Oryctolagus cuniculus: one gene and its partners. The protein of the gene in region 1 interacts with the protein of each later gene in a biochemical or structural test. Links are inferred from orthologs where the notes say so. Each region holds a gene or a part of one and is shown in the gene's direction. Other genes may lie near its edges.

What was found.
Region 2: the proteins of SHANK1 (region 1) and CACNA1D interact in a biophysical measurement, tested with the Homo sapiens proteins (2 studies listed by IntAct, with this or other methods). The link is inferred for Oryctolagus cuniculus from reciprocal best matches to the Homo sapiens genes SHANK1 and CACNA1D.
Region 3: the proteins of SHANK1 (region 1) and WWTR1 interact in a test that uses a peptide from one of them, tested with the Homo sapiens proteins (2 studies listed by IntAct, with this or other methods). The link is inferred for Oryctolagus cuniculus from reciprocal best matches to the Homo sapiens genes SHANK1 and WWTR1.

The regions. Positions count from the first base shown.
Region 1 is NC_091449.1:7,307,015-7,310,966, forward strand, and holds part of SHANK1 (SH3 and multiple ankyrin repeat domains protein 1), read left to right. Parts: intron 1-152; coding exon 153-3,267; intron 3,268-3,952. UniProt on the Homo sapiens protein: Seems to be an adapter protein in the postsynaptic density (PSD) of excitatory synapses that interconnects receptors of the postsynaptic membrane including NMDA-type and metabotropic glutamate receptors via complexes with GKAP/PSD-95 and Homer, respectively, and the actin-based cytoskeleton.
Region 2 is NC_091441.1:96,322,129-96,326,634, reverse strand, and holds the start of CACNA1D (voltage-dependent L-type calcium channel subunit alpha-1D), read left to right. Parts: upstream 1-1,607; 5' UTR 1,608-2,100; coding exon 2,101-2,167; intron 2,168-4,015; coding exon 4,016-4,325; intron 4,326-4,506. UniProt on the Homo sapiens protein: Voltage-sensitive calcium channels (VSCC) mediate the entry of calcium ions into excitable cells and are also involved in a variety of calcium-dependent processes, including muscle contraction, hormone or neurotransmitter release, gene expression, cell motility, cell division and cell death.
Region 3 is NC_091435.1:131,815,499-131,819,963, forward strand, and holds the start of WWTR1 (WW domain-containing transcription regulator protein 1), read left to right. Parts: upstream 1-1,566; 5' UTR 1,567-1,828; intron 1,829-1,907; exon of another isoform or gene 1,908-1,925; intron 1,926-2,208; 5' UTR 2,209-2,258; coding exon 2,259-2,689; intron 2,690-4,465. UniProt on the Homo sapiens protein: Transcriptional coactivator which acts as a downstream regulatory target in the Hippo signaling pathway that plays a pivotal role in organ size control and tumor suppression by restricting proliferation and promoting apoptosis.

The DNA.
Region 1 (3,952 bases):
GCCAGGAGCGCCGGGCCAACCTCCGCCAATCGCTTGGCGCATCCCGGGCGCCACTGTCACTCTTGCTCTAAGGCACTGGCCAGCAGGGTCAGCACACGCCCCCGCCCCCACCGCCCTCCATCTCGTGTCTCTCCCCCTACCCCCACCCCCAGGGGCCGCAGAAGACGAGAGACCCTACCTGGCACCCCCGGCCATGAAGTTCAGCCGCAGCCTGTCCGTGCCCGGGTCCGAGGACATCCCCCCGCCGCCCACCACGTCCCCCCCCGAGCCCCCCTACAGCACCCCGCCCGCCCCCTCCTCCTCGGGCCGCCTCACCCCCTCCCCGCGGGGAGGCCCCTTCAACCCCGGCTCGGGCGGCCCCCTCCCAGCCTCTTCCCCGGCGTCCTTCGACGGACCCTCGCCTCCGGACGGCCGCGCGGGGGCCCGAGACAAGAGCCTGTACCACGGCGGGCCCCTGCCGCCCGCGCACCACCTGCCACCGCACCACCACCACCACCACGCGCCGCCCCCGCAGTCCCACCACCACCACGCCCACCCTCCGCACCCGCCGGAGATGGAGACCGGCGGCTCCCCCGACGACCCCCCGCCCCGCCTGGCCCTGGGGCCGCAGCCCAGCCTACGCGGCTGGCGGGGCGGCGGGCCCAGCCCGACGCCGGGGGCCGCGTCGCCGTCCCACCACGGCGGCGGCGGCGGCAGCGGGGCTGCGGGCGGCGGCGGGGGCTCCCCGCAGGCGCCGGCCCTGCGCTACTTCCAGCTGCCCCCGCGGGCGGCCAGCGCGGCCATGTACGTGCCGGCGCGCTCGGGCCGCGGCCGCAAGGGCCCGCTCGTCAAGCAGACGAAGGTGGAGGGCGAGCCGCAGAAGGGCGGCCTCCCGCCCGCCGCGTCGCCCGCGTCCCCGCAGCCGCCGCCCGCCGCGGCCGCGCCGTCGGAGAAGAGTTCCATCCCCATCCCCACCATCATCATCAAGGCGCCGTCCACCAGCAGCAGCGGCCGCAGCAGCCAGGGCAGCAGCACCGAGGCCGAGCCCCCGACGCAGCCCGAGGCCGCGGGCGGCGGCTCCGCGCCCAGCCCCGCGCCGGCCGCGTCGCCGGTGCCGCCGCCGCCGTCGCCCGCGCCCGCGCCCGCCTCGCCCAGCGGCCCGGCCACCCTGGACTTCACCAGCCAGTTCGGCGCGGCGCTGGTGGGCGCGGCGCGCAGAGACGGCGGCTGGCAGAACGAAGCCCGCCGGCGGTCCACGCTCTTCCTGTCCACCGACGCGGGCGACGACGAGGGCGGCGACGGCGGCGGGCTGGGCGCGGGCGCGCCCCCGGGGCCCCGCCTGCGCCACTCCAAGTCCATCGACGAGGGCATGTTCTCGGCCGAGCCCTACCTCCGGCTGGAGTCGGCGGGCGCGGGCGGCGGCGCGGGAGGCTACGCGGGCTACGGGGCCGGCAGCCGCGCCTACGGGGGCGGCGCGGGCGGCGGCAGCAGCGCGTTCACCAGCTTCCTGCCCCCGCGGCCCCTGGTCCACCCGCTCACCGGCAAGGCCCTGGACCCAGCCTCGCCTCTCGGGCTGGCCCTGGCCGCGCGCGAGCGGGCGCTGAAGGAGTCCTCGGAGGCCGGCGGCGGCGCCCCGCAGCCCCCTCCCAGGCCCCCGTCGCCCCGTTACGAGGCCCCGCCGCCCACCCCGCACCACCACTCGCCCCACGCCCACCACGAGCCGGTGCTGCGGCTCTGGGGGGCCCCGCCGCCCGACCCTGCCCGCCGCGAGCTGGGGTACCGGGCGGGGCTGGGCGGCCCGGAGAAGTCCCTGCCGGCCAGCCCGCCCGCGGCCCGGCGCTCCCTGCTGCACCGTCTGCCGCCTGCCGCTCCCGGGGTCGGGCCCCTCCTGCTGCAGCTGGGGCCCGAGCCCCCGGCGCCGCACCCCGCCGTCAGCAAGGCCTGGCGGTCCGCGGCCGCCGACGAGCCCGAGCGGCTGCCCCTGCACGTGCGGTTCCTGGAGAACTGCCAGCCCCGCGCGCCCGCCCGGCCGCCGTCGGAGGACGGGCCGGGGGTCCCGCCGCTCAGCCCGCGCCGCTCCGTGCCCGCCTCGCCCACGTCCCCGCGGGCCAGCGAGGAGAACGGGCTGCCGCTGCTCGTGCTGCCGCCGCCCGCGCCGTCGGTGGACGTGGAGGACGGCGAGTTCCTGTTCGTGGAGCCGCTGCCCCCGCCCCTGGAGTTCTCCAACAGCTTTGAGAAGCCCGAGTCGCCCCTCACACCTGGGCCCCCGCTCCCGCTGCCCGACCCGCCCGCCCCGGCCGCGCCCCTGCCCCCCGCGCCGCCCCCCGCCGCCGCCACCGCCGCCGCCGCGCCCGCCCCGCCCGCCCTGGACTCCACCGCGTCCAGCCTGACGTCCTACGACAGTGAAGTGGCCACGCTGACCCAGGGGGCCCCCGCCGCTCCCGGGGACCCCCCTCCGCCGGGCCCGCCCGCGCCTGCGCCGCCCGCGCCGCCCGCCCCGCAGCCCGGCCCGGACCCCCCGCCCGGCACGGATTCGGGCATTGAGGAAGTGGACAGTCGAAGCAGCAGCGACCACCCGTTGGAGACCATCAGCAGCGCGTCCACGCTGAGCAGCCTGTCGGCGGAAGGGGGCGGCAGCGCCGGCGGCGGCGGAGGCGGCGGCAGCGCGGCTGTGGCCAGTGGGCCGGAGCTTCTGGACACCTACGTGGCCTACCTGGACGGCCAGGCCTTCGGGGGAGGCAGCACCCCTGGCCCACCGTACCCCCCGCAGCTCATGACTCCTTCCAAGCTGCGGGGCCGGGCCCTGGGGGCCGGCGGAGGCCTACGGCCTGGTCCCACTGGGGCACTTCGAGACCCTGTCACCCCCACCAGCCCCACCGTGTCGGTGGCAGGGGCTGGCGCCGACGGGCTGCTGGCCCTGACCGGCTGCTCAGGACCCTCCGCGGCGGGCGTGGCCGGCGGTCCCGTGGCCGTGGAGCCGGAGGTGCCGCCGGTGCCCTTGCCGGCTGCCTCCTCCCTACCCCGGAAGCTGCTACCCTGGGAGGAGGGCCCGGGCCCCCCGCCGCCGCCCCTGCCGGGGCCCCTGGCCCAGCCGCAGGCCTCCGCCTTGGCCACCGTGAAAGCCAGCATCATCAGCGAACTCAGCTCCAAGCTCCAGCAGTTCGGAGGCGCCTCGACGGCCGGCGGCGCTCTGCCCTGGGCGCGCGGAGGCAGCGGGGGAGGCGGGGACGGCCACCACGCGGGAGCCAGCTACGTCCCCGAGAGAACGTCTTCCCTGCAGCGGCAGAGGTGAGCGCGCGCGGGCGGCCATCGCGGGGAACGGGGTTCAGCAGGAGCGCCCCCAACTGCGCGCCCCCTTTCTGGACCTTGGAATCTGAGGGGGAGGAGCCGATGGGCGCGCCTGTTAGGGCCCACAGAGCAGGGGAAGAGGTGTTGCTTTTTCCCCCACCTCTTTGTGCATCGCTAGAGTTCACCTTAATTCTGAGAGATGCGGGGTCTGGGGGCCTTGGAGGTCTTGGCTTAGCTTTGCTAAACACCCTGAACTATTCTGGCGGAGCCCAAGAAGCCGAAGTGATTCGTGTATCCCCTGCTCTGGGGTGAGGGAGGCCGCACGCACGGCGCAGCCGCCACGGAGCCTCCCCGCCTGGCCGGCGAGGGGTTAAGGACCCACAGCAACCATCCCGGGGGGGTGGGGAGTATGCCATGCCGTTAGCGGTCGGTCAGAGGTCTCTCGCGGTACTGGGTGAGCAGAGGAGTGGAGGTAGGCGGCCAGCAGAGCAGCCGGGCAGAGGGACAGCCGGTGCAAAGGCCCTGAGGTGGGCCCGTGCTGGAGAGAGCTAAAGGGATGAGGGGAACATTTTCCTCCCCTTGTTTCTTCTCTCTTTCATCTCCCTCTCTTCATCTCTCTCTCTCTCTCTCTGTCCCCTACCCCCTTCCATCTCTCTCCCCCTGGACACACACCCTCTTTGTTCCT
Region 2 (4,506 bases), on another chromosome or scaffold:
CTTCTTTTATTTCCTTCACAGACTGTGGTGGAGGGAAGCGCCGGTGCAGTACAAGTGTCCTGACCCTTGTCCTTAGCTGGTGCCTTATGATGGACACCGGCCGAACAGGGTGGAGTAGGGGTGGAATTCTGAACAAACAGTAAGAGTGGACTTTGCAGAAAAGGGCTGGAGAGGCAGGGCTTCTGACCGGGAGACCTGAAAGTGGCTGTGCGCTTGTTTCACGGCGGGGTGGCTCTGGGAAGGGAGCTGTCTTCTCTCGCCTTAGATCCTGGCTGGGAAACAGCTCTAGGCGACCGGCCTGGGCCATGGTTACCTTACCGTTAGGCCACAGGGCTGATTCCCTGCTCTCTTCTTTCCCCAAACGGAGCAAGAGAACCTGGTTCTTCGCAGTCACCCCTGCCTCCCCCCTCCCCCCAGGATGCCCAGTGTGTCTTCTTTGAGCAAGGAGCGCCTTCCCATAAACGCTAATCCGCGCAGTTCTCAAACGTTCTGAAACGCGGTGGGAACACGCAGATCGGAACAAAAGCAAATAAACCGCGTCCCGGGAAGCAACAAGGCAGATACCCTTCTCCGACAGCCGGCACGGACCCGAAATGAAAACTATCAGTCATCCAGCGGATGACACCGTTCTCCCCTCCAGACAGGAGCTGCCGTCGGCGGGCCTCTCCGTGCCCAGAGGACGCGACGGCGAAGCTGTCACAAAGCAGAGCGCGGGGCTCAGCGACCGGCTGCGATAGCAAACCCGCAGACCCTGGCGCCGACTCCCCCGTCGCTGCCTCCGCACATTCGCGGTGGGGGAGGAGAGGGGAGGGGAGGAGGGCACAGCTCGCCCCCCCCTACCCCGCCCTTCGGCTAAGGCGGCGCCAGGGTGCGGTGGGAGGGAGGAGGGGGCGCTCTGTAGAACCGGTGGGAGAGAGACGCGGTTACCTGGGGCAGCGAGCGCTCTCTGGAGAGCAGGCTCCCATCCCCCCAGCGGGAGAGTGCGCCTGCCAGGCTCTGGAGGCGCGAGGGACCTGAGCAGGGCCCCCGCAGGGTGCGCTTCGGCAGCGCAGTCACTGCCTCCGGCTCGCACCTGTGCTCCCAGGGGGCGGGGCCTCCTCCAGGTGTGCCGACCCGGAGTACCACGAGGAGAGCCCAGTACGGGCTCTGGAGCTTACGCCCCCCGCCCCGCCTCCACTGCCCGCAACCCCCTCCTTCCAGAAATGCAGGGGGAGGAGCGGTTAATCCGCGCTCCGCCGCCGCGGGATGCACAGGCGCCGCCCGCCTGTTCCCCGGGAGCCCAGCAAGCACACCCTGCGGCGCGGAGGGGGTTAACCCCGCGGCCCGCGGCAGGAGCGCGCTTAACCCCCTGGAGCCCGCGGGTTCGCCGGGCCAGTCCGTGCGGGCTGCACCCGGATCCCACGCGGCGGCCACGCCGAGCGCACAGGGCCCCGGGCCGCGGGCGGTCTCCGGGGTGCGGCGCGGCGCGGCCCGTGGGAGGCTCGGGCGGGCGGGGGGAGCGCGGGGGACGGCGGCGGCGGGCGCGCAGCGTCGCCAGGGCGAAGCCGGCGTGCGGCGCGGCGCGGCGGGCGCGGAGCGAGCGGGCGGGCGGGCGAGCGCCTCCGTCCCCGGATGTGAGCTCGGGCTGCCCGTGGTCCCGAGCCAGCGGCGGCGCGGGCGGCGGGCGGCGGCGGCAGGCGGCATGGGGGGCGCCCCGAGCGGCCCCGGCGGCCGGGCCGGCATCCCCGCGGCGCCCCTCCGCTAGTGGAGCGGACCAAGCCAATTCTCCTTTGCAGCAAAGAAAAAAAAAAGGAAAAAAAAAAAAAAAAGAAAATTCCATGTATATATTATTGAGATAATATATACATCTGATTTTATTTTTTTAAAAAGTTTATTTTGCTCCATTTTTGAAAAAGAGGGAGCGTGGGTGGCGAGCGGTTTTTATAAATTATCCGTATTTTCTGTTATTTGTCCCCGGCGCTCCCCACCCCCTGCCGGAGCGAGAATAAGGGCAGGGACCGCGTCTTCTGCGTGCTCGGGAACCCCCTTCCCTGTGCGTCCCCAGCCCGGGCGCCCAGCACAGTGCCCTGCACACAGTAGGCGCTCAATCAATGTTCGTGGATGATGATGATGATGATGATGAAGAAAATGCAGCATCAACGGCAGCAGCAAGCGGACCACGCGAACGGTGAGCAGCTAAGCCTTGGCGCCCGCGGCCGGATCCGGTCCCCGCCGCGGCCCTGTGCCCACCCCTGCCCGCCCCCGCCCCCCGCGGCTCCGCCGCGCCGGCTGCGTGGAGGGGGGTGGCGAGGACGCTCCCAGCTCGGTGCCGTCCGCCGGCGGAGGGGAGATGCGCTGCAGCCACTCCGCTCTCCCCTTGAGGCCCTGAATGTCAGAGTTAATTCTGCATTTGTGGGGTGGGGGCGGCCGTGGAGCGCTGAGCGGCCCGAGACGCTGCAGGTTCCGAGTCCTCGGGCTCAACTTTGCCTCAACGCCCCCGGGCCAGGCAGCAGAGGAGGGGGCTGCTGGGGTCTGGCCGGAGCCCCCTTCCCGGTCGCTCCTGGCCTTCCTCTCCTCCCCCGCCCCCTCCCCCTTTAGGAAGAAGGTCCCCTGGTGGCATCCGGAAAATTCTAGGATTGTCCGGTGTCACCCTAGGCGCTGGTGGGTGAAGCGCACCCCTCTCCGGCCCGACGCGGGAGGCCGGGTCCCGCGACCCAAGGGAAGGGGCCCGGCGGAGTGCATGTCCCTGCCCGCGACGCGCTCGGCGGTAACCTAGCGATGCCCGGGAGTCGCGGCCCGGGCCCGGCCGCCACGTGCGCTTTCTACGCCGGCCGCGGCTGGGTCGACTGGGGCTGGGGCAGTGCCTGGACAGTCCCCCTCTTTGGAGACTGCCGGCGCCCCCCAGCCCCGGTTCAAGCCTTTCCGGGTGAGCGCACCCCGAGGGAAAGGCTTGGCAGGGCTCATCCCGGCCCAGATTGGCTGCTGCCTGACCGCTCTGCTCCCTCCTCGGGCTTGCTGGGCAGGCAGACCGGTGCTTGCTTTTGACTCTTGACTTAGCAGTCGTTTCTTGTGCAAATGCCGGTCCCTCAGCCTCGCTGCAGATTCTCTCTGACCTCTGCCTTAGTGAGGAGGATGTGGTCCGAGGCCGGCAGGTGCCTGGGAGGGCTGCCCTGGGGCTGGCCCGACCCAAAGCCAGAGGGGGCTTTGCACTGGGAGGCCCCCTTGGGTTTCTGCCTCGTGTGTACCTGGATGCTGGCTTCCACTGAGGTGGTTCCTGCCTAGGCCTCCAGGCCCCCCGCACCTTCCTGCCTGTGTATCCTAGGTGTGTTGGGGTGCTAGGGGTGCTGGCCAACCGCCTTCTCTGTCTCCCTGGATGCTGCCTTGGCTGCTGCTGCTGCAATTTAAAATGCAAAAAAGCCCTAAAGATGTTTTCTGTTTTCGGAAGCCTGTGGAGGAAATGAGTCCCAAGCATCATGAATTTTCATTTGCAGGAAGTGTCAGTGCATAATCTAGATATTTGTTATGGGCTTTTGGTGCTGCCCCTGTGCTAGTGGATGGTTTTTTTTTTCCATGCTGAAAAAAAATCGTATTGTGGAAAGATGTTGGAGTAACACCCTGGAAATGATTAAGACTATCGAATTATTGGCACTGCCTCCGGCCCCCCCCCCCCCCCGGTAATGGTGGTGATTATTTAGGAAAAGCGGTTGTACATGTCTTTTAACTCATTAGCGACGCACGGGTTTTCAAAGTCAGAAGAGATGTGGAGTCAGTGAGGGATGACCTCGGCTTCTCAGAAGGAATGCGCAGCAAAACTCCTGGTAGAGAATGGGCGTGGTGCAGCAGGTTCCCGTGGATTGACACTGGGGCGCCGTGCGTGGATTTTTCTGCCTGATCAGAACAAGAGGCTCACCGTGGACACATAGGCATGAACACCCCCCACCCCGCCCTGGGATTGCTGGGTGATAAGCTTGCTTCACCTCACACACTAGAATCTCATCTTTTTAAAAAAAATCTTTGTTTTTCTCCTTTTCCCCAGAGGCAAACTATGCAAGAGGCACCAGACTCCCTCTTTCTGGGGAAGGACCAACTTCTCAGCCGAACAGCTCCAAGCAAACTGTCCTGTCTTGGCAGGCTGCTATCGACGCTGCTCGACAGGCCAAGGCTGCCCAAACCATGAGCACCTCTGCACCCCCACCTGTAGGATCTCTCTCCCAAAGAAAACGTCAGCAATACGCCAAGAGCAAAAAACAGGGGAGCTCGTCCAACAGCCGGCCCGCCCGCGCCCTTTTCTGTCTGTCTCTCAATAACCCCATCCGGAGAGCCTGCATTAGTATAGTGGAATGGAAGTATCCTTTTCCTGGGGTAGGGGGTGGGGGAGGAAGAACCTTCCTGGTTTTCTCTTTTACCATCTGTTCTTTAAAAAGATTTGCTTTCTGAAATGACACAAAGCTGTAGCATTGTGGAATGTGAGAGCCACAGACGAAAGCTGTGGGTAAGGGGTTTTGCTGTTTATACTTTCCTGACTCC
Region 3 (4,465 bases), on another chromosome or scaffold:
CAGAGAGGGGAGACATTGAGAGAGGTCTTCCATCTACTGGTTCACTCCCTAAACGGCCACAATAGCCAGAGCTGGGCAGATCCGAAGCCAGGAGCCAGGAGCTTTTTCTGGGTCTCCCAGGGACTTGGGCCATCTAATGCTGTCCCAGGCCAGAGCAGAGAGCTGGATTGGAAGTAGAGCAGCCGGGACTGGAACCGCGCTGCAGGCGGAAGCTTAGCCTACTATGCCACAGCGCTGACCCCCTTTATTTCACCCTTATAAAAATGTTGATGTACAATGTCTGCATGTAATACATTTTAATTTAGCAAACACTTTGGTAGCCTGCCCTCTGCTGTGCGGTGTTTTACAAATATTGCCTCATTTGATTTATTTAATAAACTTCAATCTGAATCAACAGGGTGGTGTGGGGGCTTTCTGGAATCTACCTCCCGGCCATCCTCCCGTTTTTCCGCAACGGAGAAGGGCAGGAGGGAGCGGAGGAATTAAGCCGCTCCGGAGGGCACGACCGCCTCCCACTTCCCGCAGCTGTCTGCCAGGTTTGACCTTCTTCCCCTGGCTAAGGGCAGGGGGTCTTCAGCCTTCGCGCAGATCCGTCGGTGGGAGGGTGGGTGGCTTTTTCCGGGTCACCGGCACCCCCTCTCTGCTCGCAGCCACCTGCTCGGGTTCCATGCCGGGACCTGGCTCCCTGGAGGGCGTCAAGGACATTCCAATCCTCCCACTACCGCGCGGATGTCACGGGGGGGGGGGGGGCGCAACTGCTCTCGCCTCGCAGCTCCCAGCTTTGACCCGCTTTCTTCTCGGCCCCTAGCGGCCCGGGCCAAGCCATCGAGGCAACCAAGGGTTGGTGAATGGTTTGGAGGCTGTTTGTTTACACCCCACCCGTGGGCGAAGCCGCATCTCCAGCGACAGCAGCACTCTATGGGGCACCGTCCGCGCTCTTTAGTAGACAATCGAAAGTCGAGCGGCCAAAATGCCTCCTCGCCAGACCAAATATGGTCACAAGCGCTAAGCAGCCTCCCGGGGAAAGGCTGGCCTTGTTGGAGTCTCCCCGCGCCGGGGCGTACCCCGGCCCGCCCTCGGGCAGCATCGTGGGTCAGCGCGGCGCTGCGGGTGCTCTGCAGGCCTGGGCGCCGGGCTCCAGGAGAAGGCGCAGCGCCCTGGACCGGCCCTTCCCCAGCCTGGGCCCCTCACCCGCCTGCCCTCCGCCACCCCCAGCCTGGGTTTCGGTCCACAACCCCTTGATTAAACAGGTTCGGGCCACTTTCCCTTTGATCCCGCCCCAAGTCGGTGGTAAACTAAAAGGAATGCAGATCCGGAGCTCCGCGGGAGAGGTCCGCGCGGGCCGGGAGGAGTGGGTGGGGGGCACCCGTCTCCTCTTACCCTGTGAAGTACTCAACACGCCCAGGGGTTTCTGGAGCCGGGGGTGGGAGGAGGAGGAAGAGGAGGGGCGAGCGGGGGCAGGCAGGCAGGCTCAGGACCTGCAGGTCATGCATAATTCAACAGCTCAACTTTCGGGCCCGCCTCTTTCCTGGGGGTGGGAGTTTGCTCCAAACTTTGTTTATGGGACAGTCCCGGAGCTGCTGCGGCCGCGCTGTCGGCGTCTCCTCCGCCTCCTTCTCGCCGAGAGCAAGCGCCTGAGGCCAGCTCGGGGGATGTGAGAGCCGAAGCCCCTGGGCTGCCAGGCACCGAGTCGGCTCGGTTTCTGCCAGTCGGGCCCCGGCTCCAGCTCCGCACGCGCGGGACGCAGCCGGGCGACCGAGGCCAGACGGCAAGTTCGGGCGGGACGGCGGCCGCCGCGCACTCGGGCTCGGCTTCGCTGCGCGCCCAGGTAGTGCCCGCTGGAACGCGCCCGCTTGCCCGGCACGGGTCCAGGGCGCCGGGCTCTTCTGCCTTCCGGAGTCGGGCTGGCGTGGGGTTGGCTCGGGGTGAGACTTCCCGGGGGCGGGCGGGGGCGGTGGGGGAGGTGGGCTGCAGAGGCTGCCGGCCGCGGAAAGCTGCGCCCTATCCTCTGCCACCAGCAGTGCAGCAACGTCCGCCATCCCCACCCTGAATCCCACCCCGCCCTTCCTTCTCCTATTCCCGGTAACTTCTTTGCTTCAAGAAAGTTGCATAATTCCCGAGGTCAGGAGGGACCCCTCCCCCACCCGGCCGAGCGGCTGGTATCCCGAGGCCGACACCGACCCGTCCTCTCCCTTCTCTTCCTCCCAGCCCGTCCTCCAACTCCGATAAGAGACTGACCTCCCTTCTCCCTGCAGAAGATGAATCCGGCCTCGGCGCCCCCTCCGCTCCCGCCGCCCGGGCAGCAAGTGATCCACGTCACGCAGGACCTCGACACGGACCTCAAAGCCCTCTTCAACTCTGTCATGAACCCCAAGCCCAGCTCGTGGCGGAAGAAGATCCTGCCCGAGTCCTTCTTCAAGGAGCCGGATTCGGGCTCGCACTCGCGCCAGTCCAGCACCGACTCGTCGGGCGGCCACCCGGGGCCCCGGCTGGCCGGCGGCGCCCAGCACGTCCGCTCACACTCGTCGCCCGCGTCCCTGCAGCTGGGCACCGGCGCGGGCGCCGCGGGCAGTCCCGCGCAGCAGCACGTACACCTCTGCCAGCGCTCCTACGACCTGACCGACGAGCCGCCGCTGCCCCCGGGCTGGGAGATGGCCTACACGGCCACTGGCCAGAAGTACTTCCTCAAGTAAGTCGACCCGGAGCCGAGGGGCACAGAATCCCCGCGTCCTCAGGGCCCGCGCGCTTTGTCGTGTGTGCGTGTGTGAGTGTGAGATGGTGCGTGTCCTCCCACGGATCTTGCCCCCTCCCAGCCCCCGAATCCCGAAGGCTGGATGTATGGACTGTCTGGGTGTGGACATACTTGTAAGGGACCAGGGGCAGAGCAGAATCTGGTAAGGTTCATTGGCGTTCTGGAAGAACCAAGGAGAAAACAAAATTGTGGCGGGGAAATGCTCACGGGACACGTCTGTACTTCGCCCTGAATCTGGAGGACTGAAACAGGTTCCCCCTAGCACAGAGCCTTCGCGCCTTGCGGGACGGAGGGGGATCCTGTGAGAGAGAGGCTGGGAGGCTCAGGGCGGGAGGGGCCGTTGGCTTCTAGGGGGAGCAAGCTGGGAAAGGGAGCAGCCGGGTGCAGCACCCATCAGGGTGACGTAATGACCACACAGCACAGTGATGTAATTAGCAACTGGGGTGAAGTCCCCGTGGGCTGGCCTAATCAATTGTGTGGAAATTGGGTCAGGAGTTTTATGAGGTTGCGCTGGGTCACCTAAAATACCATCACATCGGCAGCCTGCTGCTTCTGCCCTTAGCCTTGTTCCAGCCTTCTGTTACAATGGGTTGGAAGTTAGGTTCGAGTTTTCTAATTAGAGCCTACAGGAAAATACATTCTCAAACACTGGAGGTTATTGTTTCCGTTGTGGTACCCTACGATAATTACATTCCTGAGGAGAAACCAAGTTGGAACTTGAAATGTAGCTAGTGAGGTCATGGAGGGTCAGGCTAGCAAAGGCCTGGGTGGAAATGGTGCCAGCTGGGCCACTTGGTTCAGGATTGCCTGCACTTGATTGCACTCTCTGCCAGTGAGAAAAACTCCTCTTCCAGGAACTTGCCTTACAGTTCATTTAAACGCCTGTGTTCCTTTGGTGGAAGAGCTTTCGTTCAAAAGTTGTTCTAAAACATGATGGCCCACTTAAAAAATATTATTCAAGTCCTTCTTTGGCACTCATATGGGGCACTTTGATTGCCATGAGAGAACTCTATGCATGCACACACGCAGATGGGTGAGGTTTATTACAGCCAACTCTGGGGCTCAGACTGGTGACCAATTTTTGTTCCTTCCCCTCCAAAAGCTGTTTGACAGCTTATGCAAGGAGGAGTTCATTTTTGTTTCTGGGGTTGGTGCGGTGCTGAGATCCAGAAACAGACTTGATGGCCGTTTATTTATTCCAAAGCTGGTCTTCCTGGGGTTGAACAGTCATGTGGACAAGGAGCTCAGTGCTTTGACTTCTGCATGGCTAATGGAAGTCTGGTAGGTGATGTCAAGACATGACATTTTTCTAAATCTGATATTGTTCCCAACAATGACACTGATTCCTATAGGCTGTCCTAATCCAAAGCAGCTAGCGGCCTGTGTTACTTTTGCCCAGGCAAATGCAGTTTTGCTTATTTTATTGTGACTTTTATAGAAATGGAAGAATAATAAATATAGATAGAAGCAGACTCTATAATTTCGGGGGGTTCTTTTTGGTCTCAAATAGTTTTCCAAAATCAAAAAGAATTAAAAAAATAGTTTTCCATCTGTTTATGAACACACATACAAGGTATGTGTTCAGTGTAACTGATTATTAGGAATATGAAATAAGAGTTGCGCTTGCCTAAGTAAATGAAAAAGATCCCTAAACAAAAGCAAAAAATTAATTTTATAATGTGTTTTGAACGATTGGAGTAGCTCAGAACTTCT